Linked DNA regions of Rattus norvegicus. The protein of the gene in region 2 interacts with the protein of the main gene of each other region in a biochemical or structural test. Links are inferred from orthologs where the notes say so. Each region holds a gene or a part of one and is shown on either strand. Other genes may lie near its edges. The genes, in order: S100a4 and Areg.

Region 1 (4,346 bases), on a different chromosome or scaffold from region 2:
TCTTGGCTTACTTTGGTTTTTCTGGTGGGACACACTGGGTCTTGGGACTGAGTCCTTGTTCCTTTATGCTCCTTACCACTGGAGAAAGAAGGCTTACCACTGAAGATGGACCCCCAAAGCATCAGACCCAGTAGAGATGTGCAAATCTTACTGTTCAATAGGAGGGTGGGGGCAACACAAGGTCTCATTGGATGAGACTGGAGGGTCTCTGTCTCCACCTCTCTGTCCCCTGTCTTGAACTAGAAGTCCTTATCTTGGGCTTTCTAGGAGAACAAGGGGCTCCTTGGGAGGTACTCAATACAAGGAGGATGCGGTTGTGGGACCCAGCATCAGACCCAGTAGAGATGCTCAAATCTTAGTGTCCAATAGGAGGGTGGGGGCAACATAAGGTCTCATTGGATGAGACTGGAGGGTCTCTGTCTCCATCTCTCTGTCCCCTGTCTTGAACCAGAAGTCCTTATCTTGGGCTTTCTAGGAGAACAAGGGGCTCCTTGGGAGGTACTCAATACAAGGAGGATGCGGTTGTGGGAGCCCAGAGTCAAACCCCCTCTAACCTTCACTTAACCCCTGAGTTTGTACCATATCCTTAGAGATTAATCCTGACTCCCTATTCACCTCTTTCTTCTCTAACTCTCTTCTCCAAGCTGAGCATTCAATCCCGAATGCTTCTGTCATCCCCAATACCCTTACTCAAGCTTCCATCCATGCATAAACCTCTAGGCCACACTACCACCTAACTCCATTATGATATTTCCCACTTAATACCTGGGGTGGTCCCAAGGTCCCTCCTGATTTGCTAGCCTCCACCCTGGATCTTCCTGATGTGACAAGAAGCTGTGTAGGCTGGAGAGAAGGGCTGACATTGTCCCACTGGCTGGGTCACCTCCTTAATTCCTCAGCCAGATAATTCCAGGGCAGTTTCCCATCTCTTGTCTATAACACCAGCATCTCCTTTTCTGTGCCCCACACCTCATGTACAGGTTGTCCCTTCTCAAAGCTTCCTAAGATTCTAGCTGAACTGCGGCTACTTGGTGGTATCCACCCCATCCAAGTCTCTGCCCTGCCCACTGGAGCGCACTCACTACTTGATTGTGCCTGCTAGGGAGCAGGAAGCCTAGCTCTTGGCTGGGCTGGTGGCTGGGCTGTGACACTTACCCGCATCGACCAACAGCAAGAGCAGTATCCATGTTCCCCCATCCCCTGCATGGGCAGGGCATGGCAGGGTATAAATAGGTCAGATTGTTGGGCTCTCCCCAAACCTCTCTGTTCAGCACTTCCTCTCTCTTGGTCTGGTGAGTCGTGTTGGCCTGATAGCACTGTTAGCAGTTTAGAGGCTGAGGCTAGGACAGGAGAAAGGGGGCGTACTGGGGGGAGGGCAGAAGTCTTTAACGGATCCAGATGAGAGATTCTGGTACGGAGGTGTGTGTGTGTGTGTGTGTGTGTGTGTGTGTGTGTGTGTGTGTGTGTGTTGCACAAGAATGAAAACTGAAAAACAAGCAGTATATAAATGGCTCCCGGAGATTCTGAGATGCTGAGGCTTGCTTGTATGTTGCTATAGTGTATGTTGGTGCTTGGGAGCCACTGTCATGGATAGGTATGTTGCTGGGTCATCCAAGCCAGTGTGTGGACACTCAGGTACAGGAAGCAAAGTGAAGGCATCAGCAGGCATTTTTGTTTTACGATGTTTAAATTACACTTATTTTATTTGTGTGTACGAGTGTATGGGTGGGGATGGGGCAAATGCCAAGGGGCACTTCTTGTGAGAGTCAATCTGTTCCTTCTAGCATGTGGGCTCTGGAGATCAAACTCAGGTCATTGAGCTTGGTGGCAAGCACCTCTACCTACTGAGCCACCTGTTCAACACCCACCTGTAGGCATTTGTGTTCATAGTAGTTCATAGCCCTATGAACATATAGCACCTAGGCCAAGAGAGCCTGGCTTCCCCACCCCCTCCCCTTGTACCCCAACCTCTGCCACTTCATCTCACTCCTACTAGGCAGCTGGGTTTTTTCCCTCACTGTAGGCCCCTGGGCAGGCAGCCAGCAGCCGCGCCCAACGCTGGGAGGGAGAAGAATGGGTCAGAGGCTGGAGCTTGTGGTTGAGTTGGGGAGTGAGTAAGCTGAGTGAGGGATGGAAAACTGCTGTTGTTGAGGCCAGGCCTGGGGGGGAGGCACAGAAGGCTGCTGGCATGAATTTCTAGAGTTTGAGTGGTAAGTTTTGCAAGTTTCAGAGCTTGAAGCACATATGAGCTTCTTGCCATCAGTGGGTACCACTCCTCTGATCTCCCTGGGAGTGAGGTCGGTCTCTGGAAGTGCTCTTAGAGAGTAGGTTGGAGTAGAGCACTAAAAACGGGGACAGACTGAGTGTGACTTGAGTGATGCCTAGCAACATATATCCAGCTCTCAACACACTGTTGGTGTGGGTTGGAGAAGGCTACTTTTGTGTCTCCTGCCCCTAGGTCTCAACGGTCACCATGGCGAGACCCTTGGAGGAGGCCCTGGATGTAATAGTGTCCACCTTCCACAAATACTCAGGCAACGAGGGTGACAAGTTCAAGCTGAACAAGACAGAGCTCAAGGAGCTACTGACCAGGGAGCTGCCTAGCTTCCTGGGGGTGAGTGGATCCTGTCTGTGTATTGCATATGTGATGCATCCCCAGGAGGAGGCTGGGGCTGGAGATATCTATCTATCTATCTATCTATCTATCTATCTATCTATCTATCTATCTATATCTATATCATCTATCTATATCTATCTATCTATCTACATATATATATATATATATATATATATATATATATATATATATATATATCTCTCCCTACTCCTGGCGCTTGGTATGGAACCACAATGAACCATCTACTTCACACCAGCCCCCCGTTGAGACAAGGCTTAGAATGAAGTTAACTGAAGTGGCACAGGAAAACCACATTAGGTAGTCAGTGTCTGAAAGCACAGCCTAGATCAGGACAGTCTTTCCGGTGATGTGCAACAGAAATCGAGTTTCTGCTTGTGAAGACATGATTGTGGAGGCACACAAATGCCTGCAGATCTTCCCCTCAATGACACCTTATCTTAGTTAACACCTCCTTGTCATGACAGTTACCTATAGACATAGTTAAAACAAGCGTGGGGAAGATGTGGTCACATCCTTTCCCAGCTAGCCCATGTGCTCATCTCACAGTTGAGCCCTGAGGCTAGCACGGTGTCTGCAAGCCTTCCTGAGCTCCTGGCTGGAGGTGGCGTCTAACTGTACCTCTTCTACCTCCAGAGAAGGACAGACGAAGCTGCATTCCAGAAGCTGATGAACAACTTGGACAGCAACAGGGACAATGAAGTTGACTTCCAGGAGTACTGTGTCTTCCTGTCCTGCATTGCCATGATGTGCAATGAATTCTTTGAGGGCTGCCCAGATAAGGAGCCCCGGAAGAAGTGAAGACTCCTCAGATGAAGTGTTGGGCCAGTGGGGGAATCTTCCATGTTGGCTGTGAGCATAGTGCCTTACTCTGGCTTCTTCATACATGTGCACAGTGCTGAGCAAGTTTAATAAAGAGTTTTGAAACTATGTCTGAGAGACTGGAGATTGTGGGTGGGTGGGTGGGGCTGAGGGAGGGTGGTGGCAGAGATGGCTGGAAGTTGACCTGGAGCTTTGTGGGGGCCAAACTAGAAAAGGTTGGGGAGGGGTGAGTGACTTATTCTGAGTTCATTACAAGTGTATATTTGTGTGTATGCGTGCATGTGTGTGTGTGTTTGTGTGTGTTCACGTGCTCCTGTACATGCAACAAAGCAAACTCTGGGAACACTAAAGGCAGAAACCACCAGAGGCTTGCCTTGAAAGGCTCCAGATGTGGGATGTTATCCAGCCCACGGTTCTCCCTCCTCTCTCTAGTACTGCCTCTGGGCTCAAACTGAAGTTGGGATGGAATTAAAGGTCACATCTGCTGCTGGTTGGGGTCTGGAGGGAAGACAACAGGCCTGCCTGAGTCATGAGGCAGGAGTCTTGAAGCCAGAGAAGGGTGGGGAGGTGGACTGGCATTCAGCCCTAACATTTATAGTCCAGATCCTGTCTTGCTACCCGTTCTAGCTCATTGGCTTCACTGGATTAATCCTTTCCTTTCCATGAAGGGTTGGACAAAGAAGGGTAATATAGAGTAGCATAAGAATCTCTCTCTCTCTCTCTCTCTCTCTCTCTCTCTCTGAGAAGTCTCACTCCTGTAGCCAAAGGTAGCCTTGAACTTCTGATCCTCCTTGCCAGCTTCCTCAGTGCTGGCATTATGGATGTATGCTACCATGGATGACTGAAATAGTTGTTCTCTTAACATACTGTCTCTGACCTCTAAAGGCTG
Region 2 (4,416 bases):
GGGGGTGTCGAAGACAGAGCCTCCCTGTCTTAAGAAAATGATAAATATTAGGAATGTTCTAGGGGTTTACTTTAAGTGAATTAACAAAAGTTAAATTAGAAGGAATGTTAAATAGGTAGCCATGCATTGTTTATACAGAAACTTTCTTTTGATCATTATAAAGTGCAAGTGAGAGGAAGCCCTCTGGGAGAATTGTCTTAAACGCATTATCGCTACACTTTATCAGGTAGATTAGAAGTCCAAGCCAAATAATAGTCACTGTGCTGAAGGGTTGCAGCAGACAACACACCCCTGGGTATTCAAGCAAACAGCCTTTTAAAGGAGAGCAACCAACAGTCTCGGCTGTACACACTTCACTGCAATTCTCAGTAGCAGCCGCCTGCCTGCTCCAGAAGTTGGCCTCCAGAACTGTTAATAATGTAACACGTCTTTAACAAGCTGGTGGATGCCCTCCTGGTCCGACCTATTCCCCTGTCCTATTACAAATATTGAAACATTAAAAACAAAAACTAAGCAAAAATGAACAAGATAATTGAGGAGCCCGGCACTGGCGTAGACTGCTCACTGAAGTGTACCCCTCCCCCGAGTTACCCTGTTTCAGTCCTTGTCCCTCATTCCTCCTCAGCTCTGGGAAACTCCGGTGGAGGAGGAGGAGGAGGAGGAGTCAGGAAAGCTGCTAGGAAAGTTTTAGGGACCTTAAGGAACTCTGAAATCACCTTGCCCTGCCTCCAAGGTAGATGCTTAGATCTGACTTATCAATGGCCTCTTCTCCGCCCCAAACGGCAAAGTAAAACGAGGATAGTGAGTCTATCCCTCTCATTTGAAAGAAAGGTTATTTTTTCTTTTAAAAAAAATAAAATCTGTCTAATAAGAGCAAAAGGAAAAAGAAAACAGGATCAGTAGTTTAGCTAAAAATACAATACACACATACATCTTTAACATCCCTAGAGTTCCGTCCTTATTCTTTCTGTTCCCTTATTTGTGTTAGTTATGCAGTTATTAGTTAGTTAGTTAGTTAGTTAGTTGTGCAGTTATTTGAAGACAGGCAGTGTGGAGGAGGGGACGCACCTGCTGAGGCACAAGGGCCTCAGGAATGGTCAATGACTAACCGATGCTTCCAGAATGGAGGTCATGTGGCATACTGGGAAAGATGCTAGTCCCCGGAATCAAGCAGACTGGGGTTCTGATTCTGACTCAGCTGCTTGCTCCCGGGGAGCGCACAACCTCCCTGAGCTTCAGTTAGTGTGTAAAATGAGCGCCGTTCTGCTTACTTCCCAGAGTTGCAAACATCAAGCATGCAACAGGAGATCTTCATGAATGTCTTGGACCTACAGGGTGCAACCTCCACATAGCTCTTCAGAGGATGTGCAGCAGCCACGCCTGCCTTCAAATCCCTTAGGAAAGCCTAGCCGCCTTCCTTCTGAAGCCACTTTGCTGAGGTAAAAAACCACATCTCCCAGACAACACTTTCCTAGTGTCCTCCACTCACCTCTGACTGAGTCGTCCACAATATAGCCGGATATTTGTGGTTCGTTATCATACTCCTCCGAGTAGTCATAGTCCCCTGTGGAGAGTTCACTGCCAGAAGGCATTTCGCTTATGGTAGAGACCTCAGAAACCACAAGTCCACCAGCACTGTGGTCCCCAGAGGACGGTTCTCCTTTCCCAGAGCTGGTGCCATTGAGTTCCAACCCAGCTGCATAATGGCCTGCAGGGGCGGAGAGAAGAAGATGAGTCTGGTGCTTTTGGCTCACTAAGGGACCCCTGCTGTGTAGACGTGTGTCTCCTCATATTAAAGCAGCTACTGCCTGTGTGCTATTGGGTGTTTGGTTTTTTGTTTTGTTTTGTTTTGTTTTGTTTTGTTTTCCCTCGACTGAGTCACTCGTAAAAGCAACTTCACAGTCAGCCAAGAAGCAAACTCAGCTGCCCAATTACAGAGTTTCTTTTATCTGGGTTTTCTTTTCCACAGTTAGCCTACATAATGTCCACAATTTAATAAGTCCTGCCAGTAAGTACCTCTCCCTTCAGGTCTAACTTGGGTGCGATTGTTCCAAAGCTTTCCTGCCTGGTTGTAGCGGGTACTGATACATTTTAACGCTTGTTTACAGCGGTGGAATCTGTGCCTGAGATGCGAAAAGCAGTGCCAACAGTGACAGGGTTTTCAGTGTAAAGACATTATTATTATTATTACCACATAGAGAAAAAGTTCAGCACCCCGCAAACCCTTTGGGGAGTCCTGAGTTCCAGCCCTTGATTTCATTTTGATTTTTGTTTTTAATATCAAAACAGCGTTGCCAGCGGTGCTTTAGGAAGGTAAAAATAAAATCACTAGGCGGAGGAATGGAAACAGAAGGCAAAGAACCCTCCTTCAAATCCTCCAGGATTAACTACCTTTGTGGAAATTACTTCACCTGCCTGGACCTGGATTTCCTCAGTTATCAAGGGAAAGGGAGGACCAAAATGACCTCTTAGGTCTCCATCAGCTGGTCCTTGGGTCATGCTAGAGACTCACTCGGGTCTGCCCTTCTAGCGTGAGCGGTTTCAGGGGTGCGAGCTAAGGGAATCCGTTCCCCGGTCAGATAAATTTGGGGGCATCAAGAGGCAGCAGCATTCAAGGAGCGACAACCCTGGAGGCTGCTGCAGGCACGGGGTGCTCACCTGAGCCTAAGACCAGCAGCGACAGCACTGAGAGCGCCAGCGAAAGCGACGGAGTTCTCATTGGTTCCGCGGCCCGGCGGCGTCGGGGTCTCTGCGGCAACACGACAGCGGCTCCCGGCGGCCGGAACAGCGGAACCGCGAAGCAACGGGCGAGCACCGGCGCGGGGAAGCCCAGCCCCGCCGGGCTCCAGGAGGCTGGAGCTGCCAGCGCCTAGGGCTCGGCTCAAAATGACAGGGCAGCGGCCGCGAGTCAGGAAGGAGCAGAGCGAACTTGGCGGAGGGTGCGGTGAGCACTTTATAGACCCGCGGGAACCACCGCCCGTGACGTCACGCCTCTCCTGGGTGGAGGCGGGAGGTTATTACCCCAAAACTCAGCTGATCCGGGAGGAAGTGGGGATCGAGCCCTGTTACCTGTTAACGCGGAGGGAAAGTTTCCCACTCGTGTTGTGTTCTAAGTTGGAGTGTTCAATATATATATATATATATATATATCCGGGAGATGAAGTACCAAAGTTCCATGTTAGGACGTAGAGCTTTAAGAACAACTGTGGCTAAGTGATGTAGCCAGAAGACTTGAGGAGGATAAAGGAAGCTACTTAACTGGGAAGAGACAGCGACTCCACAAGAGAAGCTGTTTGGGTTTGTGGGCAGTCTGGGGTCCTTTTCCCACCTGGGCTCTAAAGGACTTCAAACGGTGTGGATATCAATCAAACCCCCTTTTCAAGTCCCTGACCCGGTTTTTCCCCACCTGGACGCTAAAGGACTCCTACTGACCCCGTTATCAATCAGACACCCTCCCTGGGGTCTTCCTCTCTGCAGTCTTGGCTGCTCTTTTTACTAGTGTCGAATTAAACACTTGAGATTTTACCTGGACATGGCTGGACAGTGGCACTTAGGAGACTGAAGGACAGTTTTCAGGGAGAAGTCAACCTGGGCTTCTCCCAATAATACACTGGAGACCAATAATACACTGCTGGGGGTAAGTATGCTCCGCCCCCCCCGCCCCTCCCCAGTTTACAAGCCAATAAAAGACAGGTGTGAAAGACAGAAAGAATGAATTAACACAGGAGACAAACTCGCATGCCGTGTAGATTTTATTCAAATTAATTTGTCTCTGAAATCTGCCTCTGGCCTCTGCTCTGATAGAGATAGAGGGCTAAACTGACCTTTATGAAGAGGGTTGCTGGGCAGAAGAAAGTTTCATAGAAAGGCAAAGGGTCAAGATAATTTAGGTGGGCGGGGCGTCTGCTGTTCAAATTAGAAGAATCCAGCGAGGCCGGGTTTCCAGCCTAAGAGGGAGCCCTAATGAGGACACATCAGTGACTCCAGTACTCTGGCTAGAGGATCTTGACTTCCAGAGTAAGGAGCAAGTTTGAGGACCATTTGGGCTAGCAGAAAGACTGGCAGAAAGAAAGAAAGAAAGAAAGAAAGAAAGAAAGAAAGAGAGAGAGAGAGAGAGAGAGAGAGAGAGAGAGAGAGAGAGAGAGAGAGAAAGAAAGAAGGGAGGGAGGGAGGGAGGGAGAAAAAGAAAGGGAAGGGAAGGGAAGGGAGGGAAGAGAAGGGAGGGGAAGGGAAGGAAAAGAAAAGAAAAGAAAAACCAAAAATCAACCCACGGCTATGGGATAGAGTGTGTGTGTGTGTCAGGAGCTTATTTAACTAGGATACAACGGAAGAGAGGGCAGTTAGTTCATCAAACTTTCATGCCCTAGCAGCTCAGAAATGGATTTCCCTTGGCTTAATGAAAACAAGGTACACTGT

What was found.
Region 1: the proteins of Areg (region 2) and S100a4 form a complex in vitro, tested with the Homo sapiens proteins (2 studies listed by IntAct, with this or other methods). The link is inferred for Rattus norvegicus from reciprocal best matches to the Homo sapiens genes AREG and S100A4.

What each region holds. Positions count from the first base shown.
Region 1 is NC_086020.1:178,387,274-178,391,619, forward strand, and holds S100a4 (protein S100-A4), read left to right. Parts: upstream 1-1,255; 5' UTR 1,256-1,292; intron 1,293-2,088; exon of another isoform or gene 2,089-2,210; intron 2,211-2,458; 5' UTR 2,459-2,473; coding exon 2,474-2,614; intron 2,615-3,271; coding exon 3,272-3,436; 3' UTR 3,437-3,564; downstream 3,565-4,346. UniProt on the Homo sapiens protein: Calcium-binding protein that plays a role in various cellular processes including motility, angiogenesis, cell differentiation, apoptosis, and autophagy.
Region 2 is NC_086032.1:17,262,745-17,267,160, forward strand, and holds the start of Areg (amphiregulin preproprotein), read right to left. Parts: upstream 2,898-4,416; 5' UTR 2,720-2,897; coding exon 2,659-2,719; intron 1,709-2,658; coding exon 1,490-1,708; intron 1-1,489.